Linked DNA regions of Diceros bicornis minor. The protein of the gene in region 1 purifies or fractionates together with the protein of each later gene. This does not show direct contact. Links are inferred from orthologs where the notes say so. Each region holds a gene or a part of one and is shown in the gene's direction. Other genes may lie near its edges.

Region 1 (7,166 bases):
TGAGAGGAGCTGCCCCAGGAAAGAAGATATCTGATCTGCAAGAGAAAAATGTTGGAGTCACCAGGAAATGGAAATGGTGGCAGTACTCGTGAGATGCCTCAGCCTCCTCAGCAGGAAAGGGCCCAAGGAGATCCTGCTGTGGAAGCATTCATGAAAAGAGCTGAAGTTCAAAATTTTTGAAGGACTAAAATCATGGCTTGCTGATGACTGAGGCTTATGTATCAGGCAAAAACAGCTCTTTTATCTTCCTGCCAAGAAGAATGTGGATTCCATTGTAGAGGATTATGCAAATTACCAGAAATCTTGAGGAAACACAGATAGTTAGGTAATAATAATGCTGTTACTGAAGTTGTGTCAGGAATAAAAGAATAATAGAATGTAATGTTGGGCACTCAGCTACTCTACAAATTTGAAAGATCCCAGTACACTGAAATCCTTGAAGATTGCCCTGAGGCACCCTGTCCCAGGTGTATGGAGCTCTGCATCTAGTGAGAATTGGAGCAATGTTGGCCCATATACCTCTAGATGAGAAGAGTCTTATTTTATTTTTGACTGAACAATCTTCACAATTTTCCTGGCAAAGAATTCTGCAACTTTATTTAGTGCCAGTAATTATGAAGTGGCTCATCCTAAGAGGAGGTATAATTTAAAGTAAATTAAATGCACAGATCTTAAGAGACAGTTCATTGAATTTGGCAATTGCGTGCACCCGTGTAACCACCAGCACAATCAAGAAGAGAACATTTTCTTCACCCCCAAAATTTCCTTGTGTTCCTTTCCAGTCAATTCAGCAATCTGCCAACCCCCTGTCCCCAACAGTGGCAGCCTCTATAATGATTTTTATTCATCATACCTTATTTTCACTGTTCTGAACTTCACGTAAATGGTCATACAGTATGTGCTCTTGTATATCTGGCTTCTTTTGTTTAACATAAAATTTTTGAAGTTCATTTACATTATTGCATGTGCAAAGGTTCTTTTTTATTTCTGAGTAGTATGACAGTGTATGAATATACCACAATTAATTTTTTTCATTCTCCTATTGATACACGTTTGGATTATTTCCAGTTTTGGGATATTGTGAATAAAGCTACCATGAACATTCTTGTACAAGTCTTTTTGTGGACAGATGTTTTAATTTCCCTTGGGCAAATGCCTAGGAGTGAAATTATTGGGCATTTAACATTCAGAGAAACTACCAAACAGTTTTTTTAAGTGGATATACCAATTTATATTCCTATTGTTAATATATGAGGGTTCCAATGGCTCCCTATTGTCACCAACATTTAGTATCGTTGATCTTTTTAAGTTTAGCCATTCCAGTGCATGTGCAGAGTTTTTTCATTGTGAATACAATTTGCATTCATCTGATGATGAATGACATTGAGCAGCTTTTCATATATTTATTGGCTATTGGGTATATGTATTTCAGATATTTTTTACCAGTCTATAGCTTGCCTTTTATTTTGTTTTTACTGCTTTTTGATGGACAAAAGCTTGTAATCTTGTTGAAGTTCATTTCATCAATTTTTTTTGTTTTATGATTTTATTTATTTATTTTTTTCCCCCAAAGCCCCAGTAGATAGTTGTATGTCATAGCTGCACATCCTTCTAGTTGCTGTGTGTGGGATGCAGCCTCAGCATGGCCGGAGAAGCGGTGTGTAGGTGCATGCCCAGGATCTGAACCCGGGCCGCCAGCAGCAGAGCGTGCGCACTTAACCGCTAAGCCACGGGGCCGGCCCCTCATCAATTTTTTTAAGGTTAGTGTTCTTTGTGTCCTAAAAAATCTTTGCCTGCCTCAAAGTCACAGAGATAATCTTCTATGATTTCTTTTAGAAGCTTTATAGTTTCACTTTTCTGTTTAATATTAAGATCTATTTTGAATTAATTTTTGTTTATGGTATAAGTTAGGGATCAAGGTTAATTTTTTTCACATTGTGATCCAGTTGTTCAACACTGTTTGTTGAAAAGACTTTCCTTTCTCCATTGAATTGCATTGATACCAATGCTGTGTTTCTAAAATTTAAAATTCAGTTCCTTTTTCTTTTTCGTGAGGAAGATTAGCCCTGAGCTAACATATGTTGCCAATCCTCCTCTTTTTTGTGTGTGTGAGGAGATCAGCCCTGTGCTAACATCTGCCAATCCTCTTTTTTTTTTTTTTTTGCTAAGGAAGACTAGCCCTGGGCTAACATCCGTGCCCATCTTCCTCCACTTTATATGGGACGCTGCCACAGCATGGCTTGCCAAGCAGTGCGTTGGTACGTGCCCAGGATCTGAACCGGCGGACCCTGGGCCGCCACAGCGGAGCACGCAGACTTAACCACTTGCACCACCGGGCCAGCCCCACCAATCCTCCTCTTTTTGCAGAGGAAGATTGACCCTGGGCTAACATCCGTGCCCATCTTCCTCTACTTTATATGTGGGACACCTGCCACAGTGTGGCTTGATAAGCGGTGTGCATAAGTCCAAGCCCAGGATCTGAACCCACAAACCCTGGGCCGCCACAGCGGAGCGCACGCACTTAACCGCTGCACCACCAGGCTGGCCCAAAAAGTCAGTTCCTCAATTGCACTAGCCACATTTCAAGAACTAAAGAGCTACAGGTGACTTCTGGCTACCGTATCAGTCAGTGCAGATATAAAATATTTGCAACATCGCAGGAAGTTCTGTGACAGCACTGCTCTAGACCTTAGGGCACAGTGTCTACTAAATATTTTGAATTCTGTGAAGGGTTAGCTAAACCAAATAACAAAGGGCAGATATAAGAAAGTTAAAAATCAATCACTGAACTTATATGAGGTACTTAGAGTAGTCAAATTCAAAGAAACACAAAGTAGAATGGGGGTTACCAGGAGTTTTGGGGTGGGGAAAGGAGAGTTATTGTGAATGGGTACAAAGTTTCAGTTTTGCAAGATGAAAAGAGTTCTGGAGATGGATGGTGGTGATGGTTGCAAAAAAATGTGAATGTATTTAACGCCCAAGAAATGTACACTTTAAAATCGTTAAAATGGTAAATATTATGTTACATATATTGTACTAATACAAAAAAATTTTTTTAACTGCTTTTTCCCCAGCTGGTGTTTAGTGCAGGTGAGAAAGCAATTGGTATTACTAGTGACTTAATTCTCTCTGGTTTATCTGAGGGATACCCAACAGAGGTACAGGGGAGATATTGGAGCCCAGAGCCCCACTTAGTTTAATGTCTCTGTCTTAGGGTATTTCCAGTAGACCCTCTTCAGCTAACAGGAAAAGAGAGAAAAACAATTTGACTGAGTTATTCTCCTGTTATGAGTTATCCACCTATTCGTGTAACACTAAAGATTTCGTTCATTGGGTTATGGGAACCACTGCAAACTAGTAGCAGGAGCAGTTCGGTTTTTAAATAAAAGTTCTCTGTTTTTTTAGTTAATCTCTAAGCACTTGATTTTGACGATTTAACTAACAGACAATGTTGATCAATATATATAAAAAATACTTTTATAAAGCATAGACTGTACTATATTAATTCAGGGAACATCAGGGCATATATGAATACCAAACTCTGAGGATCTTGTGCTTTTGTACAAGATCCTATTTGTTTAAATATCTTAATTTAAAACTCGCGTTAAAACTCCTTAATAAAAACATTTCAGAATCTTCAACTGATTTGTGGAAAGGAAGTGAAAGAAGCAGTATTAGACGACTAGAAAACATTCATATTAAGAGCTTATGAAAATAATCTTGCTCCTCAGGAGATGTGTTGATTTGGTGAGATGCCAATCCATCTATATTTAGAAGCCTGATTTGCATATTTGAGGACATCTATAAATGTTATTCACTAGGACCTCATCTCTGTCAAAGACAGCCTAATGAATCTATGGATACAGTTTAGTATTGAAAATATTGCAGTACCCTTCAGAACCTTTCAAAAGAAGCAACATTAAAAGCTGGAAGTTTTCTTTGCAGAAATTGCTCATGGTTTCAAATTAGGAGGTGCCTCATTTTTCAAAAACTCTAAAAGAAAAGCTAACAGTGATTGAATATATTCTAGGCACAGTGTAAGCATTTAATTAATTATTGTTCTAATCAACAAATATTTGTTGAAGCATCCTATGTCCTACTCAATTTATCTCATTCCATCCATCACACAATCCTATGAATACTATTATCCCCACTTTACAAAGAGGGGAAAGCTCTCAGAGAGAAGTCACACAATTAACAAATACTAAAACGAGGCTTCTACTCTGGACTTCAAAGACAATGCTCTAAACCATCCAATCCAGGAGAATTAACGCTTTTTGATTCTGTTAGCTAAAGCAGTCCACCCCAAGAAGCCTCGCGATATTACTCAAACTACTACTCCCGACATGCAAAGCGGCTTCTGTTGGTCAGCCTATGCCGGTGAGTCTGGAGGGCCCCAGCATGCCTCGAGGCGCGAAAGGCAACCTGGGAGCCGTAGTTCTCTTGGACGCGTACCGGTATTGCCAGCGCGGCAGTGGCGGCTCTCTCTGTTCCGGCTAGCGGATCTTGTGAGGGCGAGCTGAGGCGGAGAAAGGGCGCGGAACTGGAAAAGGGTGAGTCAGGCACTGTCTACGCGATAAAGAGAGGCAGCAGCGTGGCGTAGGGCTGAGTTGAGGAAGTGCGGCCCCTGCGACAGTCTGTTCAGGGAGACCGCGATCTTAGCGCCGGCGAGAGGAGGGTGAGGAGGAGCCAGAGCCCGGTCCTTGCACCCGTCCTCGCCCTCGGCACCGCGCCGCCATCTCCACCATGCAGTCCCGGGAAGAAGCTCCGCGTTCTCGCCGCCTCGCCAGTCCCCGCGGGGGGAGGCGGCCCAAGAGGATTTCCAAGCCCTCGGTTTCGGCTTTTTTCACGGGCCCGGAGGAGCTGAAGGACACGGCCCATTCTGCAGCCCTGCTGGCACAGCTCAAGTCTTTCTACGACGCGCGGCTGCTATGCGATGTGACCATCGAGGTGGTGACACCTGGCAGCGGGCCTGGCACAGGCCGCCTATTTTCCTGCAACCGTAATGTGCTGGCTGCCGCGTGTCCCTACTTCAAGAGCATGTTCACCGGCGGCATGTACGAGAGCCAGCAGGCGAGCGTGACTATGCACGATGTGGATGCCGAGTCCTTCGAGGTCTTAGTTGACTACTGCTACACGGGTCGCGTGTCTCTAAGCGAGGCCAACGTGCAGCGCCTCTACGCGGCCTCCGACATGCTACAGCTGGAATATGTGCGAGAAGCCTGTGCCTCCTTCCTAGCCCGCCGCCTAGACCTGGCCAACTGCACCGCTATCCTCAAGTTTGCGGACGCCTTCGACCATCACAAACTGCGATCGCAGGCCCAGTCCTTTATAGCTCACAACTTCAAGCAGCTCAGCCGGATGAGTTCAGTTCGGGAGGAGACTCTGGCAGATCTGACCTTGGCCCAGCTGGTGGCTGTCCTGCGCTTGGATAGTCTAGACATCGAAAGTGAGCGGACAGTGTGTCATGTGGCCATGCAGTGGTTGGAGGCGGCTCCCAAGGAGCGTGGGCCTAGCGCAGCAGAAGTCTTCAAGTGTGTCCGCTGGACACAATTCACTGATGAAGATCAGGATTACCTGGAAGGGCTGTTGACCAAGCCCATTGTGAAGAAGCACTGTCCGGACCTTATTGAAGGGGCCCTGCAGATGCGATGCAGTGACATGTTGTACAAGTCTGTGGTGCCTAAGTCAGAGGACAGCAGCAGCTCTGTTGTATCCGCAGCAGAAAATCCACCCCAGAGGCTGGGCATGTGTGCCAAGGAGATGGTGATCTTCTTTGGACATCCCAGAGATCCCTTTCTCTGCTATGACCCGTACTCGGGGGACATTTACACAATGCCATCACCATTGACCAGCTTGGCTCACACTAAGACTGTCACCTCCTCAGCAGTCTGTGTCTCTCCAGACCATGACATCTATCTAGCTGCCCAGCCCAGGAAGGACCTCTGGGTATATAAACCAGCCCAGAATAGTTGGCAGCAACTTGCAGACCGCTTACTCTGCCGTGAGGGCATGGATGTGGCATACCTCAATGGCTACATTTACATTTTGGGTGGGCGAGACCCTGTTACCGGAGTTAAATTGAAGGAAGTGGAATGCTACAGTGTTCAGAGGAACCAGTGGGCGCTGGTGGCTCCTGTACCCCATTCCTTCTATTCCTTTGAACTAATAGTGGTTCAGAACTATCTTTATGCTGTGAACAGTAAACGCATGCTCTGCTATGATCCTAGCCACAATATGTGGCTGAACTGTGCTTCTCTTAAACGAAGTGACTTTCAGGAAGCCTGTGTCTTCAATGATGAGATCTATTGTATCTGTGACATCCCAGTCATGAAGGTCTATAACCCAGCCAGGGGAGAATGGAGGCGGATTAGTAATATTCCCTTGGACTCAGAGACCCATAACTACCAGATTGTCAATCATGGCCAAAAGTTGCTCCTCATCACTTCTACCACCCCACAGTGGAAAAAAAACCGGGTGACTGTGTATGAATATGATACTAGGGAAGACCAGTGGATTAATATAGGTACTATGTTAGGTCTATTGCAATTTGACTCTGGCTTTATTTGCCTCTGTGCTCGGGTTTATCCTTCCTGCCTTGAACCTGGTCAGAGTTTCATCACTGAGGAAGATGATGCACGGAGTGAATCTAGTACTGAATGGGACTTAGACGGATTCAGTGAGCTGGACTCTGAGTCAGGAAGTTCAAGTTCTTTTTCTGATGATGAAGTCTGGGTACAGGTAGCACCTCAGCGAAATGCACAGGATCAGCAGGGTTCTTTGTAAATATTTTGAAACACCGAGATGTTTCTACTGCTATGGAATGTATCTTAAAAAGATATCCTCTCCTTTTTCTGGAAAAAAAAAAAAGTGATTAGGACCACAGATTTGGTTTAGAAAGGGTAATGTTTGAATTACTAATGTAATGTTACAAAATTTAAGCAGTCCACATAAGAATTTACTGTGCTAAAAGTTGAGATTGAAATATGCAAAAAGTGAGCTATATCGTTGATTAGAAAGCTTGGTGGTTTTTTCATTGTTCAGTTATTCATTGCACCAGTGGATTGTTTTGGTTAGTTACAGTAGTTTATATTTTGATTATCTAATTTAGTCTTCTGTTAACTTTTTAATTCTATTAGTGCCACAAAGAATTTAACTTCTTAATT
Region 2 (7,082 bases), on another chromosome or scaffold:
GTTTTTGTTTATGTGAGAATGCCTTAATTTCTCCTTCATTTTTGAAGGATAGTGTTGTTGGATATAGAATTCTTGGTTAATAGTCTTTCTTTCAGCCCTTTAAATGTCTTCCCTCTGCCTTCTGATCTCCACGATTGCTGATGATAAGTCACAGGTTAATCTTATTGAGGATTCCTTGTATGTGATGAGTTTCTTTTCTCTGGCTCCTTTCAGAATTCTCTCATTGTCTTCGTCTCTCAACAGTTTGATTACTGTGTGTCTAGGTGTGGACTACCTTCAGTGTATCCTACTTGGAGTTTTTTGAGCTCCTTAAATGTGAAGATTAATATTTTTCATAAAATTTGAGAATTTTTCAGTCATTATGTCTTCAAATATTCTGTGTCCCTTTCTCTCTCTTCTTTCCTTCTGGGACTTTATCATATGTTGGTATGCTTAATGGTTTCTCATAGGTCTCTGAGGCTCTGTTCATTTTTCTTCACTGTTTGCTTTCTGTTCCTCAGACTGGATAATCTCAATTGACTTATTTTCAAGTTCACTGACTCTTACTTCTGCCATTTCAAATATGTTGTTGAGCCCTTCTAGTAAATTTTTTATTTCAGTCATTGTACTTTTCAACTCCAGAGTTTCATTATTTTTTAAAATTTCTGTCTGTTTATTTATATTATCTATTTGGTGAGACATTGTTCTCATACTTTCCTTTAGTTCTTCAGACATGGTTTTCTTTGGTGAAGATATTCATAATAGCCAATTTAAAGTCTTTGTCCAATAAATCCAATGCCTGGGCTTCCTCAAGGGCAGTTTCTATTAACTGCTTTTTTTCCCCTATATATTGGCCATATTTTTCTGTTGCTTTGCATGTCCTGTAATTTTTTGTTGGAATCTGGACATTTCGAATAATATAACGTGGCAACCCTAGAAATCATATCCTTGCCCCACTCTCCAAGGTTTGTTGGTGGTGGTGTTTCTTGTTGTGGTTGTTTTGTTCATTTAGTGACTTTGCTGGACTAATTCGGTAAAGTCTGTATTTTTGTCATGTGTGGCCACTGAAGTCTCTGCTTAGGTAGTTTAGTGGTCAGCTAATTATTGGACAGAGATTTCCTTAAATGTTTGGAACCATTAAGTCTCCCAGCCTTTGCTGAGAGGCTGTGTGTGTTGGGGGATGCCTTCAACATTCTGATAGGTAGTTTACAACTCTTCCTTAACCTTCACTTTCTGCTTGCACTGAACCTCAAGGTCACCCAGAAGCGAGAGATTAGGGCCTTCTCAGGTGTTTCCTGAGCATGTACACAGTCCTACATGTGCACATGGCATTCTGGAGTCCCAAGAATGTCGAAGTTTTTCAAGGCATCATACGGAGCCCCATTCTCCACTTTTCCTTTTAATTTTTCTGGTTAGCCGCTTGTTAGCCCCAATGGGTTTCACTGCCTCAAGCAGCTTGTGATGCTAAACAATTGTTACTGATTGTTTCTGACAAATGCCCTAGGGATAGGGCTGTTTGCACAGAGTGAGATCCTGAGCCAGCCAGGTCAAATAAAGACAAGCACTGTAAATGGAGCTTTTCAGGGTGCTGCCAACAGGTCAAATAATGACAATTATCTGAGGATAGGGCTTTTGAGGAGCTCTAAGCCCATTAGCGGCTGCTAGTCAACTGGTTTTCAATACTACTTTAGTTACGAGGCTGTTGGTTTACAAGGCTACGGCAGAGTTGGAGAGAAGGGGATGGGAACTGGGCAAGTCAAAATACTATAAAGCTCACCGTTCTAAGATTCAGTAATTTTTTTGTACAAACATTCTTTGTATTGTTGCAAGCCTTTGGTTAATTTCTGGAGTTCTGGAAAGGTTGGTTTTGACAAATTATAGCCACTGCTCACCTTTTATGGAGAAACAGATTATCTGCCATTCTGCAAGTGCTTCTACCAGTTTATTTTTATCTCTCATTATCCTGAATTGATCTCTTCAGCCTCCAGTTGTCAAAATCCTTGAGTACAGTGCAGTATTTTCATCAAATATCTTACCAGTAATATGACAAGGTGGTGCAAAAGGCCAAGCGTACATTAGAAACGGTACATACATAAGTACAGGCCCTGATATTTTTTAAAAGTACTGCTCCAAGGTCTTCTCCCATGTGTGGATATATATTTGAAGTGTCAAAGATCTTCTAATTCCTCATTTTATGTGAGAGCTAAAACTTATGGATAAATGAAAGTGAAATAGATTTAGACCTGCTTTCCTACCAAAGTGACTGTGAAATTATGTTGGGAGCCCAAACTAGGAGACTGTTTTGTTCTAATCTTACGTGCTAATTAATTTGAAAATGCAGTGTTTAAATAGAGGTACAAGAGGGATGCACTGTGGAGGGAGGGTGTTAATGTTTGATAATTCTGCCTGGTGGATGCACAGGCACTTGTTATCTGTACTCTTCATATATACATCCTATACACACACATACACACACACACACAAACAAACAGGCAGTCCTTGCTCTGCAAGTTCAGATATGCCTGATGTTAGCTACTATGGCTCAGTTAAATAATACCAGTTGCTCAACAGTATGGTTCAAATTTCAGCTATCATGGCATATTAACTGTAAGAAAATGCATATAGCGCAAACGCACGTAGTATAAACTTCGCTGCTAGCTCTTTAGTCCACAAAGCACAACACAATAACATGTGCATCATGATCAGTGACCAATCACAGTAGTTCTTTCAAAGTCTGTTAGTCATTGGTCACTGCTGCACCTGTTATTCAGTTTATGCAGCCAACTGTGCAGTTGTGTTGCCTCCTCTTCTCCCAGTGATAAACCTGTACAACATTGCATAAAAATGGGTAATTGAAAGAGGGAATTAGCCAGCAAGATGAAAGTGCAGCAAAGAAAAAACAATAAAGATGGAAATGAAGTAAAATTCGAATGGAATGTAAATGGAGTTACAGAAAAAATAGGCAACTGTGGGAATGTTGACTCTGCTGCCTTTCCAGAGACTCTAGACACGCAGCCAGAAGAACTTAGTAAATGTGAACTTGAATGAGGAAAGTGGTTGTGACAAAAAGGATGAGGATGTCCCAGAGGACGTCACATTAAAGGAACTCTCTGATATATTTCATGACATTGAAAGTACAGAGGATAAAATGCTGAAAGTGACCCAAATATGATGCTCTGCCAAGGCATAGAAAAGACGCTCTCTCAGTATATAACAATTCTACTAGCAGAAGACAAGAGCTGTGCAAGTTACTCTTAATAAGTTTTTCTTACAGAGAAATAAAACACTTTAATTCTCAATCTTTGTAATGTTCTAAGTCACACTATTAAGTGATTAGTTTTACTATTTTTTTTTTTTATTTCTCTATACATTATCTCCATCAGTGAAGAGAGTTTGGAATGTTTTGACAAAATTTTTAAAGGTCATGGAACAATCTCCATTTTTCCCAATGATTACGAAGATAGTTTCGCGTGGTTCAGGTCATTTCCACAATCCTGAACTGCCTGGCATGCAAGCGAGGACTGCATATATGTATATATATACACACATACACATATATACGCATTGTATATGTGTACGTATATACATATACATGCATTTTATATATACACCAAGTCTGCAAACACTTCAGGCTAGAACTGATGGTTACAAGCTATTAAGTGGTAATTATAAATTAAAAAATTAATTTTTTCCTCTCTGGAAGCTTGTCGTTAGGATCCCTTTGGAGCAGAAACGGTCGGAGATGAGTTCCCGTCAGCCGCCGAGGAAACTGAGGCACGCGGGGGCGCCGGGCCTGGGCGGCGCCGGTGGGCGGGGGCGGCGCCCCGGCCTCACCCCGCCGCTCCCGGAGCCGGCACACCGCCAACCCGGCCGCCTGTGAGGCCCGCGCCGCCCGCGGCTTGCGGGGTCGGAGGGGGGCGGTGCGGGAGGCGGCGGCGGGAGCGGCGGGCCACGCACGGCGGCGGCGGGAGCGGCCGGGCACGCACGGCGACGGCGGCGGCGGGAGCGGGGGTCCTGGCCACGCACGGCCGCGGTGGCGGCGGCTTCGGGAGCGGGAGCGGCGGGAGCTGTGGCGGCGGATGGCCCAGAGCTGATCTATGCGGCGCTTGGAGGGGCTGTGTCTGCGGCGCCGGCGGCGGCGGCGGCGGGGCCCTGCCCGCGAGCGGAGCGGGGACAAGATGAAGTACCAGAAATACCTGACGGTGCTGCAGATGGCCATCGGCGTCACCCCCTCCAACCGCGGCAGCCTCCTGCCGCTCAAGAGGAAGCTGTGGTGAGGGCGCGGCGGGCGCGGGGCCGCAGCCCGGACCGGGCGCGGGTTGGGGCCGGGGCCGGGGCCGGGGCGGGCCGGCGGCGGCCGGGCCCGACGGGCGCGGAGAGCGCCGGGCGCAGCAGCCATTTCGGAGCCCCCTGGGCCGAGCGCCTCGGCGTCCCGCGCTCGCACGGTCGTTTTCCGCTGCGACCCTCGGCGGTGCCCGGCGACACGCAGAGCGGCGCGCCGCGGGAGGGAGGGGCCGGAGCCGCCGGCTGACGGGCGCCCGGGCACCCACCGTCTCCCGCCGGTGTCTGTCCCTTCAGCTCCATTGCAGCGAGTTCGGGCTCGGGATTGCAAGCCAGGCTTTCTTGCAGGCAGCGAAAAATTTAGCATCACAGTATGCGTTTTCTGTTATTTCTCAAAACCCGTCTGCTCTTGGGTACCTAGTAAAGGACGAGCCGCTCCCACAGTAAGGGGAATAAGTTGCGAGATTATAATAAGGGGAATAAATTGCGAGATTATAATTGCATTATCAAGGACTATATTTTATCTGCATGTGTCTTAGTTCCTCCGACCTGGAAACTGTTATTGGGGTAACAGGAAAAGAACGCCTTTAGAGAAGAATGTCTGGACGTTATCCAGGTCAGGTTTACATAGTTGATTATCTCTCAGATTGTATTGCCTTTTATTAGTATTTAAATATGTCATATGGAATCCCAGTGGCTGCCTAGGCACTCTCTGGACTTGCGACTTAGGCGTAAGGTGCTATGACAAAAGAAATAGTCAAGTAAAGGGATGGTGACTAAAGAAAAAAGATGCCAGTGATCTTGGTATTCAGTGGTCATTTTAATTTTAAAATTTGTGGTCAATGTAGTTCATAAAGGTTTTATACAATTCAATTGAACATAGTCTAATTTAATTTTAAGGTTATAGAGAAAAGGAAGTAAGGCTGTTTTTAGGCATTTGGGGAAAGTAATTTCTGCTATATCAGACAAATGAGAAAATGATCCAAGGAATATAAAGATTGAGCACCCAAAAAAAAAGAGGAGTTAAAAAAAAAGAATCCCAAGAGTAGAGAATTTTCGAGATAAGACCAAAAAGTATAGGCAGCAAAGTTCAGATTTAGCTGTGCCACTTACTGTGTGACCTGAAGCAAGTTACTGGAGTATCTGTTTCTTCCTCTGTAAAATGAGAATGTTATCTACCTCATGGGGTCATATGCAGATCAACTGAGATAATGAATATGAAGTGCCTGCCACTATGTCTGGCTCAATAATAGATACTTAGTAAATGTTAGTGTCTTCCTCCTTACCCCCCACCTCAATTTGTTTAAAAAAAGAGAAATTTATTCTGCAAAAGGTAGTTTAACTTGATGAACAGCAACTGACAACACATCGAAGACTAGACTGGTAAAAATTGGCAGTAATTGAATTAATAAATGTCCATGGAAGAAGATTTTGCAAATATATGAAGATTATGTCGCTATTATGAAGCAAGAAACAGTAACATTTGAAGATGACTTTTCAGATTGATGGTGTACAGGAAAAATAAAAAGAGATCAGCACCAACAGTCTTATCCCCACCCTCCCACCACCATGTTTTTCTCCTGGGCACTTAGCAATATCTAACCCACTACATACTTTACTTCATTTTCATATATGTCGCCTCTCACCGCACTAGCATTTGCATGGGGACAGGGCTTTTGTCTGTTTAGTTCATTACTAAATCCCCTGCAACTAGTATCTGGTGCAAAATAGGTTCTAGAAAGACATATGTTGAATAAATGAATTCTTAATAATGCATAACTGGGAAAGAAAATTTTCTCGATGTTAAATTTAAAAACTAAGATGTCGGAATAATGTCTGAGGAGCCATTAGGCATGAATATTAGCAGCACTTGGTCACAAAGCCAGGAAACTAGATTTATTCTTTTTCATAATTGGAGTGCTACTTCTGAAAATACATTCCTCAATACAAAGTTTGTGAAGAGAGAACTTGATAAGATAAAATCCAGGTAACTTTTTTACTCTGGGGAGTCACATTTGAGGCAGGCAGTGAACTGGGGACAGGATTAACAACTGTCTTACTAGGAGACGGCCTGGGAAAGGGCAGGGGGATTTTGTTGAACTTTTCCACAATCTTAAACAAGCATTTCAGAATTTCCACTCAGCGTTAAGTGAATTTGCAAACGTTTATCTAGTTTCTACAGTGGGAAAGTGAGGAGCATACGCTACAAAAACTGTGGAGTGGGTGGTACTTTTAAACACAGATGTCACAGATGTATAATCCTTTTTTTTTTTCTTTAAGTTAGAGAATATTGTGCTGCTTGATTAATCTATCTGTTATATCCTCTGGAATTGATTTTGTAGATAACATTTCATTTCGCCAGTGTCGTAGCAACTGCACGTGGAGAATTTGACACGGAAGGCACCGTTACATGGCTAGAAGATATGAGGGTGTGGGTTCTGACTCCAGAATGGTGGGTGGGAACCAATAGCAGATATATGTCAGCAGTGTATGTCAGACCTTGAAATGCACCAGCTTATGCCCATTTACAAGATGTGAGGGTATACTATGATAATTGGTTGTGGCATATATGAAGATTTATATGAAGATGTTTATGAAAATGTGTATACTCTCTGTGTTTCTCTCTCTTTAAATTATTGCAGTCTGTGTGGAAAGACAGCATGCCTGCAAAGCTTATGCCAGTGTAAGTAAAGGGTAGGGTTGAATGATCCAGTGCTTTATCTCCACACTTCTATCTAGTTTGGCCATTTGTGCTCATCAGCTTTCCTTTGCGCAACATCTTTCTGTCTTTGTGATTGGCTCTGTAAATCCTTTAAGGAGTA
Region 3 (7,104 bases), on another chromosome or scaffold:
GAATCCCCACCCCCACTCTCCCCCAGCACTGCACACCGCCGTCAGATAAGGCCTCCTGGACATCCTCTGTCGCACTTCTGTGCCTTTGCCCAGAAGGTTTCTTTCCTCTTTATCTGCCAAATACCTATCCTTCAAATTCTGCTCCAGGGTCACGGCCAGGTGAAGCCGTGTGCTTCTGCAGGCTGAGCTGGCCCTTCTTTCCCTGTGCCCCCACAGCGTCCCGTCCCGCCTCTGGTCTCAGTCACAGCATTCTCATATTCGATAGCAAGGCTTTGTTCAAGCAGCCGGAGCCTCCCCAGAGAGAGGGACACACCACAGTCCCCCATCCCCTATCTTGCTTTGTTTTCTCCTTAGTACCTGTCACCATCTGACACACTACACATGTTGCTCCATGTCTCCCCACTAGAATTTAAACTCAATGAGGGCAGAAGCTTTTGTCTGTTTTCATGTATCTTCAGAGCCTAGACTAGTAACTGGCACATAGCAACTGCTCAATAAATATTTGTTGAATAAATTGTTGACTCACTGATCAATGTTACTTTATCTAGCTTTGTATCCTTAGTAGTTACATTGCCTGGCTCGCAGTAGGTACTAAGTCTAAGTTTTTGAATGAATGAAAAGATGAATGAATACCATGTTGCCAGCCTGTTTAAGAAAGTTCAAACACTAGTGTTGGGTTCAAAGTTCTCCATCTTCTAATCCTAGCCACTCAGTTTTGAATCCTCTACGTTTCAGCATGAGTCCTTGTCTCGAGCCTAACTGCTCTGCTCACTGCCCTTGACTATATCCCGGACACCGCTCTCTCCACACCCCTGCCCATACTCCAAACAGAAACACCGTTTACCCCCTATTCCACTCATATTTATTAAGCACTTGAGATAAGCCAGCCACTGTTCCAGCCACTGTCCTCCACCTATGCCTATCCCACTCCTTTCTTTCCTCAACGTGAGGACAAGGTGACCCTGACCAGCCAGGCCCGTGTCACTCTCCTTGGGCACTAATAATCTACAGCCTAGCACCTCATCCCTGGTGTTATCAACATATAAACAGATCCTACACATAGATTTTACAGAAAATGGCCCTTTAAAGAATCAGCGCTAACATTTCAAACATTTTGGATGGAAATTTTTCTAATATTATTTTCATGTCTTCCTAAAGTACTGTATATAGAATATCCATCTAACCTTCATAACTCAAGGTCATCACTATGAACACTATTATTCTGTAATGAGGCAGTGTGCCAGGGGGAGTAACTGGTAACAAGAAAGAGCATGAGTTTTGTGATTAAACAATCTTCACAATGACCCCTTTGCAGTCCCTGGGGTTTCCTGACATCACCTCCTTCTCTTTTAATATGTTTCTAATCTATAGTGGGCTTAGGACTCAGATGATGAAACTTCTTAGAAATGTTTGTAAACTATGTGTAAATAGTTGCCGAGTATACGAGAGATTCTGCTATTTATAAAGTCTATCCAATTTAAAGCATGGATTTTGTACAATCTATTTTGTTGATCAGAGGCCTTTCTCACTTAACTGTTTTTCAGGTGTATTCAGAATTCTTGAGGCTGGATAAGTGACTTCTTAAAAAGTCTGCCTTTAATGCATTTAGCATTTTACATATTCTCTTTTGTTGCCAACTATCTTTATGTGCCTATGTCATAACTTTTCAACTAGATTGTTCCCTGGTGAGCTTATTAACTTCCCAAGGGCAAGTGATATTTTATAGTCATTCATTCATTTGCTAAGTATTTTTTAAAGTAACTACTAGGTGGAAAGATCTGCAATAGAAAAAAGATGAATAAGACATGGTATTTATACATTATTGAAGAGTGAGAAGCAAATAACCAATACGAGGTAAGAAGGTAAGTATAAAAATCCAGAGAGCCATGGGAATTCAAATAGGTGAAGAGAATATTTTCTGGTTGGGAGAACCGGGGAAGGCTTTGTGTAAGAGATGGCATTTGAGTTGGATCTTGGTAGACAGGAAGAATTTTAGTGGGTAGCATTCTAAGGTTTGGGAAAGCTGTGAGAATGGGCAGAAAGGGAGAAATATATTCATGAATTTGTGGAACATACAGTCATGCTGGAGTCCTAAGAGCACCCAATACATAGTATCCTACTTCCCTAGCTGAGTTTGGAACAAATGGTTACGTGAGACAGAGGAGTGGCAGATGGAGCCCACTTATCACCTTTATTACTGAGTAAGGTTAAGCTGGAGAACTGGACTTGAGGCAAGAGCTGTATAAGCCTGCTGAAACCTGGAGCAATGCTGACTCACTTTGTGACAGACAGTGGGAGCCAGGGCAGGCCTCCAGGCCATACAGACCATCACTCAGGTCCTGAGAAGTTGTCCACCTCTTACCTTTTAAACTTGAATACTTGAGATTGTTGGATCAAAACCAGCAGTAGATGGCATTTAAAGGTGAATTTATTATCTTAAAATAGAGTTTATTGTGCACTACCCCTCTTTGCCACAAAAGCACCACATGGCAAGGTAGCTTACTTAAACTATAGTGAATTAGAATCACTTTCCACGAACATGCACGGAGGATCTGTATATCACACGGCGGCTATTCAGGAGCAGCAGAGCTAGAATTGGAAATCCCTGGCCCATTGTAACTTTGAAGGGTTTACATTTTAAAGATGAAAGAGACACATTTTTATAAAGCTCTACATTCCTGTATCTGAGCACTGATTCAGGTGGATAGACAACCGGCTTTACCCTTAAGAAGATGGCTGCCTGGGTCAGCCCTAGCCCTCTGGAGACAGGGGAGAGGTTTGTGAGGGAGAGAGGCAGATGTCCTGGGCTGCCAGAGTGAGCAGTGAAGCCTGGTGGCGGGCTGGGGAGGGGTCAAGATTGACTGCATTGAACATATGTCCTCTGAAGAAGTGCAATATATGGGAGAGAGAATGGGACTGGAGGGGGTGGGGAAGAGGTGGGGCTGGGAGTGAGGGCTTTGGGGACTCAAGCTCCCTGAACTAGGCTAGTTCAGGGTGGGTGTGTTTCCCCACCCCAACTGCCCACAGTACACAGTACTTCATTATACACCATCTCGGCTCGAGAACTGGGTCATGTAAGCAGCTTCAGGTCCCAGCCAGATTCCACACTCTCCACGTGGATCCCTAACCCTATCCACACAAGATATTGAAGTAAGAAGAATGCAAATATTCATATACATAGTTGACAGCTGTTCAGTGCCTACTGGGCACAAGCTACTTTCCATAATCCTCACCACAATCCTGCAAGGTTGGCATTATCATCCTCTCCCACTTTTCAGACAGGGAAACAGACTCAGAGATGGAAGCAGACCTGGTTGAATCAGGATTGGAACCTGGGCTGCCTGCCTTCAGAGATGTGCTCTTCCAGTAGTTTCTATGAGACTGGGGTTGGGGGGCAGCGACTGCTCTGTTAGGAGAGGAGGAGGGAGAGGGTTGGCTATGGGGGCCCGGGTGTGTATGGTTATTTGCCTGGTCATTTCCTGGGCTGCATGTGAGTTTAAGTGGGAGTGTGTATATGGGTTGAGGTGGTTGTATATGGATATTTGTGGGTCAGTTCTTGGAATGTGTGTATACGAGTGTGTGTGGGGCGGTTAGCCTCCGGGCCGTGTGAATATGTTTGTTGGGGCTCCCGTGAGGGCAAACGGGCTTGGATTTTGTGCATGATTGTGAGTATGTGTGTATGGCTGTAAGTTTGAGGGGGCAAGTACGTTGGGCTGTTGGGTGGGTGTCACTCCCTGGCCATGTGTTTATGATGTGAGGGTGAGTGAGTGAGTGAATGTGAGTGAGTGTGTGTGTGTGTGTGGGTGTGGGTGTGGTCAGTCCCTGGGGTCTGTGTGTGTAGGAGTGTGCACGCACGCGCGTTTGTGTGCGCGCGTGAGCGTGCCCGGGTGTGGCGTGGCTGCGGGGTGGGGAGAGGCCGGCCGGCCCCGCCCTCCGCTGCAGGTGGGCCGGGCCCTCGGCGGGGCCGGCAGCGCTCGCTGCTCTTGGCTCGCGGCCGCGCCGGGCTCGCAGGGCTGGGCTCGGGCTGCGGGGCGGCGCCGGGACAGGAAGCGGAAAGCAGCAGTGCGGCGGTGGCGGCGGCGGCGGGGCTCTGCCTGTACCGGAGCCCAGCGCAGGCCGCAGAGCCGGGGCCGCCGTGAGCCGAGACCGCGGGCCGCGGAGCCTGCACGGCCGGCGCGGAGGTGAGTCCCGCGGGAGGCCGGACGCGACGAGCAGCGCGCAGACCTTCCGCAGGGAGACGCCCCCACCCCGGACCCTGCGAGCTCCTGAGCCCTCCTCCCGCACCCCCACCCCAGACGCGGGGTCACCGCCTCCTCCCGCCTCTGGCCCGGAGCCGCCTCCCCTCTTACTGACCGCACCCCGTGTTCTGCTCCCGGGATCCCACTCCTCTGCCATCCCCGCGAGGTGCGCCCCTCCTGCCCCTCGCTCCGCTCCCCGCCGCACACCGCTTCCTGGGTCCCGGCATTCCCCCCACGCCTCGGACTCCCCCTTCTTCCCGGCTGCACTTTGGGGTGCGCCCTCGGGGTGCGCGTTCCGGCCGGCAGGGAGTGGCCGAGCGTTCCTGGAGCACCGGGCGGCTGGAGCGGCCGTGCGAGCGGGGGCCGGCAGCCCTGCGCTCCCCAGGAGCCGGGCGCGCACCGTGGTTCCCACCCCGCCGCGCAGCTCGACCCCGTAACCGCCAGCGCCCGGGGGCCGCCCGGCCCTGGGCCAGAAGCCGGCACAGAGCTGGCCTGTGTTCACACCCCGCTGACAAAATTGAGCCGGCCCCGGAGGCCTGGGGGGGGCGAGTCCGGTTGCGCATCGGAGAGCGCAACAGGCAGGTAGGAGTTTACTTTCAAAAACGCCGGGGTGGAGCAGAGGCGACCGGCAAGTCTGCGCGGAGTGTGCCACTTGGAGAAATCTCACCGCGCCGGGGCAGCCTTCGCCACGGGCAGGACCTCATTTTCTCCTGCAGTCTTTGAACTGCCCCAAGCAGCGCGCCCGGAGAAGTGTGAAGCTTTATAAAAATTTAAACGTGTCGGTGCTGGAGGCAGGAGCGGGGCGGAGCCGCGGCCTGGCCGCCCGGAGATGAGCTAGTGAGACTTGGAGCCGAGAAATCTGTTGCTCAGTTTTCACATCTTCAAACCAGGTATAATGCCCACGCCGCGAAGGTGTTGTGAGCTCGTTTAGCTGCTCGTTAAGAGATGTTAGAGCGCATTATTATGATGATTGTGTGGCTGGCACGTGCATTTTGTTAAACCCTTTTGGCGGGGCTGTGGTTGGAAAATGCATGTGTTTTGGACACTTATTCCAAAAGCTAGTAAGCTGTAAAGAATCTGGCATTTTCACTGATATGTTTATAAATTTTATAGGGTTGCTGGAAAATATTATAACTTGTGTCACCAATCAACAATGCTAATTAGCATTCTCCATCCAGTGGGTGGGTTGATTACACAGCTCCTAGGCTATTTAAGTGAGATGGCAGAAACTGTCTGAATTCAGGGAGACGTAATTAGTCATTTTATGTAACCACTAATTAGAGTTTTTAGAGTTAAATTAAATCAATGTGATATCGTTGGGGCTTTGATTTGTGGGAGGAAACTTTTATTCTACAGTTCAAAGAAATAACACCACAAATCCATGAACATTTAGCATTCCCAAACTTTGCTGTCTCTAAGGATAATTAGGGAAAACATCTTGTGTGAAATTCTCAGAGTGTTGATAGTGTGACTTGGTTACGACTTAATTTGTAAATAAAATGGGAGAAATAAAATTTATTGTGTTATGTATTTGAGCAACAGGACAAAACCATAAAGGAAAGTTTCTTTACAAGCAGCAATCCCGTGTCATCCTGGTCTGTTGAAGAAACAGCGCTGGGTGAAGAATGGTCTTCTCCTCTCCCTCCCCTTCACAAACACACCCTTTTGTCACCCTAGACTTCAGCCGCATTTGGGGTGCATGGGTCCTTACCACATTGTATTTTAATAGCAGGTTTCCACCTTTGGGCTGTGAGCTCCTTAGGAGCTGGAACTGTTTCAGATTTGTTTCTTTTTTCCTGGACTCCCCACAGTGCTTGGGACACTGAACCTGTGAGTAGGAGTTGAAATTGCAAAATTGTTTGTGGGTTATGTGTGGTTTAGGACAATTGATGATTGTTGCCTACCCTCCTCTGTGTAAATAAACAATTCTGGTAATTGCTACATTGCTATAAATTTTCCTTAGCTAAGAGCACAGGTTCTGGAATTAAACTCTCAGAGTTCAAGCCCTGGCTCCAGCGCTCACCAGGTGTATGACCTTGGTTTCCTTAACTGTAACATGAAATTAATATTTTATCTCCCTTATAAGGCTTGTTTTGAGCATGAAGTGAGACATTGCATGCAAATCACTTAAACAGTGCCTAACACATAGTAAGCACTCAATAACTGTAAGCTGTTAGATTATTATCGCGGTCCTGTCTCTGTAAAGTGAACTAGCTGTGGTTAGGAGACTAGCTGTGTATGGGCATGTGATTTGGGCATGGTACTATGCCATTTTCCAGAAGGTGGACAAGACAGGATGAGGTGGACTCGAGGCTGGACCATGTTTCTGCTAGTGGCTTTGGTCTTGCTTGAAGCCTGAGGAATGGTGCATGTGTGCTCTGCTGCTGTCTGTCCCCATCAGTGTCCTTCTGAATCCTGCTTATTGGACAGCGGTCATTGGACCTGGCACCATGAGATTTACAGAGGAGGTAGTACTTGTGAAATCTATTTTTCTGAACCTTAAAAATCTAACGGGACAAGGGAGTCACTTGAAAACAAATATACATCATAGAACCCCAGACGTGTTAACCATTCACAGCTCTCAGACATCTATACCCAGCTGCTGGAGGTGTTTCAGAGGTAATTAATGACTGGAGCCAAGAGCAGTTATTCTGGGAAGCTGAGTTGAAATCATTGGCAAGACAGGTAAAATGAAGTTGACGTTTTCTTTCCTTGAGAATAGTGGCCCAGAATCATTCATTTATAAGAGCTCTGTTGTAGTGAAAGAATCATTGGGTTTGTCACAAATGCCACAAGCCCTCTGATCCTCACATCAGTGACCTGGATGGTGTTTTATGGTTTATAGACCACAAGTTCCGCAAAATGT
Region 4 (7,066 bases), on another chromosome or scaffold:
GCTGTATGTGGGACGCGGCCTCAGCATGGCCGGAGAAGTGGTGCGTCGGTGCGCGCCCGGGATCCGAACCCGGGCCGCCAGCAGCGGAGCGCGCGCACTTAACCGCTAAGCCACAGGGCAGGCCCCTCATTCCTTGCTTTAATTTAACCCAGCCTTGGGAGGGAAAGGCAAGATCTTATGAATATTTGTATGATAAATTCTGTAGGATAGCAATTGTAAACCAGATCATTTGTACACTTGTTACACCCATATATTTAGGCAACTTCTTAATATGTAAAAACACAATGTCTAAGCCTAGGTTAAATGGTGGTAATGACTCTACGCCAGTGAATAAGTCCATAGATACTGTTGCTTCTGCAGAAGCCTTATGTACAACCCCTGGTTACATTTTCATATGTGAAGGCTCTGACAATAGCCTTTATGCTTGGGCATCTCATTGCCTTAACAGCTGGAGAGTAGGAGATCAGTGTGCCCTTGCCATATTCACCACCCTGTTCTCCCTGCATAACCAATCAGAAGCCTCTCATTGGTCAGTTCCACTAAATTCCTATAATTACCTCAAATAAGAACTTCCAGGAAGTGTGCATGATTCTGGGTTTGCCTCTGTGGGGAGAGCTTTCTTTCTGTGGGTCAGAATAAGTGCTACTGCACAAATGATCAGGATTCTCTCCCTAACACTAGAAGAGTTGGCTGGTTCCACAGCCAAAGCAGTTGCAACCCAACAATAGTTGCTTAACTCATTGGCCAGGGAGTTTGAGATACCTACTTGCTGAGCAGGGAGGTGTCTGTGCAGTAACAAACACCTCCTGTTGCACATGGATAAATAACTCTGGGGAAATAGAGAGCCAATTACATAGAATTAGAGAGCAAGCACATTGGCTACAACAAATTTCACCCAATAACCCACTGTCTTTTGATTTTATTCAGCCCGTTACAAACTGGGCTTGTTGTATTGTTCTTTTTTTTTTTTTTTTTTTGAGGAAGACCAGCCCTGAGCTAACATCTATTGCCAATCCTCCTCCTTTTTTTCCCTTTGTCTCCCCAAAGCCCCAGTAGATAGTTGTATGTCATAGTTGCACATCCTTCTAGTTGCTGTATGTGGGACGTGGCCTCAGCATGGCCGGACAAGTGGTGCGTCGGTGCGCGCCCAGGATCCGAACCCAGGCTGCCAGTAGCGGAGGGCGCGCACTTAACCGCTAAGCCACGGGGCCGGCCCCTGTTGTATTGTTCTTAATCCTGCTTTGTGTACTTGTTGCTAAATGCTGTACGTATTGCCTGTCGAACCTCTGTAAACATGATGTACCTAATAAGTTGATGTTAGCTCAACAATTTGAAACGGTTTCTGAGGCTTACAACCTCAGACAACTATAGACTTTGAATAAGAGATGCTTGAGAGTTCTCCCTCCTGGCCTTCCTTGTTGCTCAAATGTGGCCTAAATGGTTTCCAACCACTGTGCACGTTCCCTGCACCGTGGGACATGACTACCAGGAAAGGTCCTTCCTGGCACCGAGGGACAAAACCACTATGTGCAGAGAACCTGACTCTTGATTAGCAATGCTTGTGGAAGAAGATCTTGATCAAAATGGGAAAATGTGAAAATTAAATAAAGGGAAACCTCATTTAAAATGGAGTTGGGAGGCCAGAAGGGGGAGCTCCCATGCAGTACCACTTGAGGTCAGTTACGGGAAAGATAGTCAATCATAGACCCCAGCAGAAGTCATCAACAGGAAAGAATCATTAATTACAGGAAAAAAATGTACATCGCATCCCAAAGAGAAATCAACTACCCCAGGAACTCAGCCAATGAGAAACCATCACCACTCTGAACTCTTGCTTTTCTCCAATGGATTTTCCTTCAAAACAACTCCTCCCAATTTCCTTTTTCCCTATAAAATAACGTTCCTCTCCTTTGATTATTGGATTTGCTTATGGTCTCCCATAGCATGCATATTCCCAATTGCAATTTTTTAGCTATTCCTGAATAAACTCGTTTTGCTGGAAAAATAACTGACTTTTATTTTTAAGGTTGACAATTCTTATCTGCATTTAAATGTCTACGAGCTTTATAAAAAGGCCTTTCTCTATACATATATCTCCTTGTTACCTTACAACTGCTAGGTCCCTGTAACAAACTTCTTGAAAAAATTGTTTACACTCACATCTCTACTTTTTCATCTTTCACTCACTCATTCAATAAATATTTATTGAGAGCCAACTATGTACCATATACTGTTCTAGGTGCTGATAATTCAGCAATGAATTAAACAAAATCCTTGCTCTTTTAAATCTTACATTCTTGTGAGGGTAGACATGTCCAGAAAAATTGTCCGGAACTTATAAATGGGCAGAAGAGGATTACTGGGTGCTCTTTCATTGTAGTGCTGGGGTTTACATTTGATTGACTTGATGTTGATTAGGCTATCTTACAACTTTGTAGGGGTAGAGGTTAACTTGTAGAAAACTGAGGGCAATGCAAATAATTCTCGTCTGAGAGCAACGCAAACAACTCCTACGCATAGTAACGCAAATGAATTTTGTCCAGCAAAGATGGAATTGATTTTCATCTGGTAGAAGAGATAATCCCAAACATCACAGTTTATTACTTAATAAAATATTAATGTTTTTGCAACTATTAGCAAATTTATTTTAGCATTCCTTTGGCTGATAATCTAAATCTCTAAAACTCAAATTCTCATTGAACAAGTCTTACCATTTACTGGGTCCCTCATTATCTAGGATAATGGGTGAGTAGTTTATTATGATGAATAAAGTCTTTGGCATGTGTTCATTATATATTTGTATAAGAGTTATGTTTTTAACCTTTTGAAAATTACAATTTAGCAGACTATAAGAAAATAAATACATATCAGGTGGTAATAATTTATAAGAATAAATGTGGGGTAAGAGGACAGCTGTTAATGGTGGTGTAGGGCCCAGTCAATCAATCCTGTAATTCTTTTTTTCTTTTCTCCTCCTGCTTTTTTTAAAAATTATTATTATTATTATTTTGTGAGGAAGATCAGCCCTTAGCTAACATCCATGCCAATTCTCCTCTTTTTTTTAGCTGAAGACCACTGGCCCCGACCTAACATCTATTGCCAATCCCCCTCCTTTTTCTTTTTCCCCCTTTTTCTCCCCAAAGCCCCAGTAGATAGTTGTATGTCATAACTGCACATCCTTCTAGTTGCTGTATGTGGAACACCACCTCAGCATGGCCTGAGAAGCAGTGCATCGGGTGTGCGCCAGGGGTTCCGAACCTGGGCCGCCAGTAGCAGAGCGTGGACACTTAATTGGCTAAGCCACGGGGCCGGCTCGTGTAATTCTCTCTTAACTGTAAGTGGAATCCATCCTCTTCTCTCCATCTTACTGCCACCACACTAATCCAGAACATCATCTTCTCTCATCTGACCTCCCTGCCTGCCTTACCCCTAACTACTCTGATCATCTGCTGTCAGATGTTCATTTTTAAAAACACTTATCTGATCATGTTCCTCCTCTCCACCGGCTCCTTGGTGGATTCAAGTTTTGTGGGGCCTAAAGCTTACTCAAATTCGGGAGGCCTTCTTTAAGAAAAACAATACAAAATTAGGTACAGGCCCTTGAAGGGGGCAGTGCCAATGACAGGTCCTGAAACTTAAGCTTCATTAGCTTCACTATAAATCCGCCTCTGCCTACAAGTCTAGCCTGTTTTTTTCCTCTTAGGATCTTTTCTTCGTGCAACTTCTGCCTAGAAGGCCCTTACCACCCCTTTTTGCCTAGTTAACTCTTTCAGTATTCAAGTGCCAGTTCCCAGTCCTCTCTGACCCCCCCAACTGGGTCAGGGACCTTTACGGAGTCTCTCTCAATGCTCCAAACATCCAGGCGGAGCCACCATTCTGTGCGAATGGTTGCTCTTTCCCAGCGCTCTCAAAGATCGCTGGCGGGGCGAGGTTTGCACCCGGAATGTAAAGATGGGCGGAGCCCCGGGAGAGAGTCAGCGGTAATTCCCTCCCCTTTACGTCCAGAGCGGCGCGCACCACCTCTCCGGAACCCGCGAGCCTCCGGTTGCGGTTCCGGTCGGAATTACCCGGCAACGCACGCAGACATGGCTGCGCTGGTAGTGAGAGGTGTTCGGGACGTGCTGAAGCGGGCCGACTTCGCGACGGTCCCGCGGAGACATCGACATAAGAAGAAATGGGTAAGGCCCAGGAGGGAACAGTGACAGCGGCCCCTTGCCACCGCCTCTCGGGAAACCTCCCCAGCCCTTCCACTGCTCGCCCGGCTCAGTTAGGGTCGCTCCTCTCTCCGGTTGGAACGCCTTCGACCTCTTGTCCCGCCCCTCAGGGAGCGTCACTAGGCTCCTCCCTCACATCTGTTACGTCGTCGCCTCTGTCCGCCCTTTTATTTCGTCACGAGTCTTCGGCTCTCCCTCTTGATAAGTGTGCAGCCTCCTGACTCCGCCCCTCTGTTACGTCATCGCCTCCGCCGTCATTCTTTCAGTTATGTCACCGCCTCTTGTTCCCCTGCTCGCGGTTCCGTTCCGCTTGGCTCCCACTACCTCTTCCCCTTCCCTCCCTCCCCCTCCCCCTCCCCCTCCCTCCCCTTCTTTCCTACCCTGACCTCTTCTCCTCCGCCCCCTATGACCTCCTCTCCTCCCTTCCTCCGAGAACTTCGAGCCCGGCCGCCCTCACCCCTCGGAAAATGTCACAGCGACTTCCCGGTCCTCCCTGGGTCTCCTTCGCCCTCCAGGAAAGGAGTCAACTCCCTCACCCTCGAGCTGCCTCTGGCGCCCAGGAAAGGTTACAGTGACCACCCTGCCGGTAGTCCCGGCCTTTCCCCAAACTCAGGCAAAAGGTGCAGCGACTCCCCTCACCCCCTGGGCTCTCCCCGCTGCTCCAGACACCCTTTCTCTGGCCTCACCTGTAGCCCTGGAATTTCTTCCGTAACCGGCCCGCCCCCCTCTCTACCCCGACCGATTCCCTCCCCGCCCCCACCGCCCCCCTCCCCACCCCCACCGCCGCCCCTGCGTCTGGGGACATGTTCTTTTGAACCTTGTTCTCCACTCCTCGGAAGGCCTTACTGCCCTGAGACTATCCTCTCGGGTTCGTCCCCCCCGAGCCCTTGTTTTGACCGGTTCAGCCTTCTGGGGTCACCCCCTCTCCGTCCCCGGAGCCCTTATTGCGGCTGGATCAGCTCCCCGAGAACACCGTGTCCCTGTCCCCGAAGCCCTTACATCGACCAGCACACTTACCTCTGTTACTGTGGTGGATACCCTTCAGCCCTGGTAACCAGCCCGGTGACCTCCCCTCCCCTTACTCATCGGCCCCTGGGAACCACCCCGGTGACTTCTCCTCCTGTCACTCATGTGCCGTTGGAAACTGGCCCCATGATTTCACCTCCTGTCACTCATCAGCACCCAGGAACCAGCCCCGGGACCTCCCGTCCGGTCACTCATGTCACCTTGGAAACTGGTCCCATAATTTCACCTGTTTTCACTCATGAGCCCCCTAGAACTGGTCCCGTGATTTCCTCTTCCATCACTCATGGATCCCAGGGAACTTGCCCCATGATTTCACCTCCTCTTACTCATAGGCCCTTGGGAACTGGCCTCATGATTTCACCTCCCCTTGCTCACCGGCCCATGGAAACTAGACCTATAGTTTCCCCACCCCTTTCTCACAGGGTTTTGCAAACTGGGCCCATGATCTCCCCTCCACTCTCTCCCTGGTCCTCAGGGAGAAGTTATAATGACCCTCCTCTTTCCCAAGCATCTTCCCCACCCACCGGCAGGTTTTACCATGGCCACCATAAGCCTCCAGACTCTTGTGAACCTAAACCACAGCTTGACCCACCCCGTGGGAAAAATTACTGTGGCTCCCCACTTTCTTCTCAGGCAGGCACATCTGGCTGTCCCAGCTCACCTCCAGAGGGCCCTTATCACTATTCCCATCTTCCCCCAGAGACCTGCATACCTGCCCCTGGGAGCCCTTGTTGTGCCATCCGCCTACCCCCTGGGAGTACTGGTTCTCCTTGCTTACCCCAGTCCCAGGCTTCCAGGAAGCCTTGCTTTGAGTCCTTGTTCTCCTGGGAGACTGGTGGGAGCTCTTACCTCTTCGTAACCCCAGTCGCTATGATTTCTGGTCCCCCTTGTCCCCAGGAACCACCTCTTCCCCTGTCCTCGCCTTGTCCTTATTCTGCCTTCTTTCCTTCACCCCTGAGCAACCAGTTTATATCTCCACCTCAGTCACCCCCCCGCAGAAGCTATAACGACCCTCCTCTGCCTACCCCAGCTTGCCCCCAAGTGAAGTCCCCCAAATCCTCAGAGTTAAGACAGCCACGTGCTCCCCACAGAAGTCGCTCCCTGGTCACCCCTCCCCGGCAAACTCCTCCTGACCAGCCCAGGCCCCCTAAGGCCAGCACCTCTCCTCCACCTCCCTCCGGCCCTTCTGGTCTCTCAGGTGCTTTTTGTACAGTGACATCCGTTACAACTTGCTCAAATTCTTGCCCTAAAGAACTTCCCCAAGGGACTACCTTACCTACTGTGGTCCCTAGAGTCCTCAAAACTGTTATCCCCACTTCCCTTCCCCTCCGCCTTCCTTATGATTCTGTCTCACCCAATAGTTATGCTCAGAGAAGCCCCCATGGACCCCTCATAAGATCCCCCTGCAGTACCCATGTATATTCTGTGGTTCCCTCCACCCCCGATCCCTGCCCACTCTCTGGTTCCCTCAATCAATCCACACGCCCCCCTCAGTGTCATAAGCAACCCATGGTGCCCCCCTGTGGCACCTATAGCACTCCCAGGGGCCCACCCCAACCCCATTGCCAGCCTGTGGCACCTCCTTGTTCTACCCACATCTATTCTTGTATCCCTTTGAGAACACCCTTTGACCCCCAAAGTTTACCTATTGCCCCCCGAGCCCGAGGCCGACCTGATGCTATGCCCTGTGGCCTGCATGTCTACTCTGTGGCTTCTCGAGGCTCCTGCAAAGAGTCCTCCCAGATTCCCTACAGCTGTCCTTTGCCTTCATCCAAGAGTTCCAGCTGTAGTTCAACTATTATTATTAGTGAATACCAGAGTAGTGA

The links. The genes of interacting proteins can lie anywhere in the genome.
Region 2: the proteins of KBTBD7 (region 1) and TJP1 purify together in Homo sapiens (co-immunoprecipitation; 3 studies listed by BioGRID and IntAct, counting the BioPlex papers as one, with this or other methods). This does not show direct contact. The link is inferred for Diceros bicornis minor from reciprocal best matches to the Homo sapiens genes KBTBD7 and TJP1.
Region 3: the proteins of KBTBD7 (region 1) and VANGL1 purify together in Homo sapiens (co-immunoprecipitation; 4 studies listed by BioGRID and IntAct, with this or other methods). This does not show direct contact. The link is inferred for Diceros bicornis minor from reciprocal best matches to the Homo sapiens genes KBTBD7 and VANGL1.
Region 4: the proteins of KBTBD7 (region 1) and NSUN4 purify together in Homo sapiens (co-immunoprecipitation; 5 studies listed by BioGRID and IntAct, counting the BioPlex papers as one, with this or other methods). This does not show direct contact. The link is inferred for Diceros bicornis minor from reciprocal best matches to the Homo sapiens genes KBTBD7 and NSUN4.

Annotation. Positions count from the first base shown.
Region 1 is NC_080748.1:35,094,980-35,102,145, forward strand, and holds the start of KBTBD7 (kelch repeat and BTB domain-containing protein 7), read left to right. Parts: upstream 1-4,151; 5' UTR 4,152-4,746; coding exon 4,747-6,786; 3' UTR 6,787-7,166. UniProt on the Homo sapiens protein: As part of the CUL3(KBTBD6/7) E3 ubiquitin ligase complex functions as a substrate adapter for the RAC1 guanine exchange factor (GEF) TIAM1, mediating its 'Lys-48' ubiquitination and proteasomal degradation.
Region 2 is NC_080744.1:79,819,331-79,826,412, reverse strand, and holds the start of TJP1 (tight junction protein ZO-1), read left to right. Parts: upstream 1-4,059; 5' UTR 4,060-4,076; coding exon 4,077-4,252; intron 4,253-7,082. UniProt on the Homo sapiens protein: TJP1, TJP2, and TJP3 are closely related scaffolding proteins that link tight junction (TJ) transmembrane proteins such as claudins, junctional adhesion molecules, and occludin to the actin cytoskeleton.
Region 3 is NC_080743.1:48,187,308-48,194,411, forward strand, and holds the start of VANGL1 (vang-like protein 1), read left to right. Parts: upstream 1-4,081; 5' UTR 4,082-4,181; intron 4,182-4,643; exon of another isoform or gene 4,644-5,128; intron 5,129-7,104.
Region 4 is NC_080752.1:9,208,568-9,215,633, forward strand, and holds the start of NSUN4 (5-methylcytosine rRNA methyltransferase NSUN4), read left to right. Parts: upstream 1-4,043; 5' UTR 4,044-4,085; coding exon 4,086-4,178; intron 4,179-7,066. UniProt on the Homo sapiens protein: Mitochondrial RNA cytosine C(5)-methyltransferase that methylates cytosine to 5-methylcytosine (m5C) in various RNAs, such as rRNAs, mRNAs and some long non-coding RNAs (lncRNAs).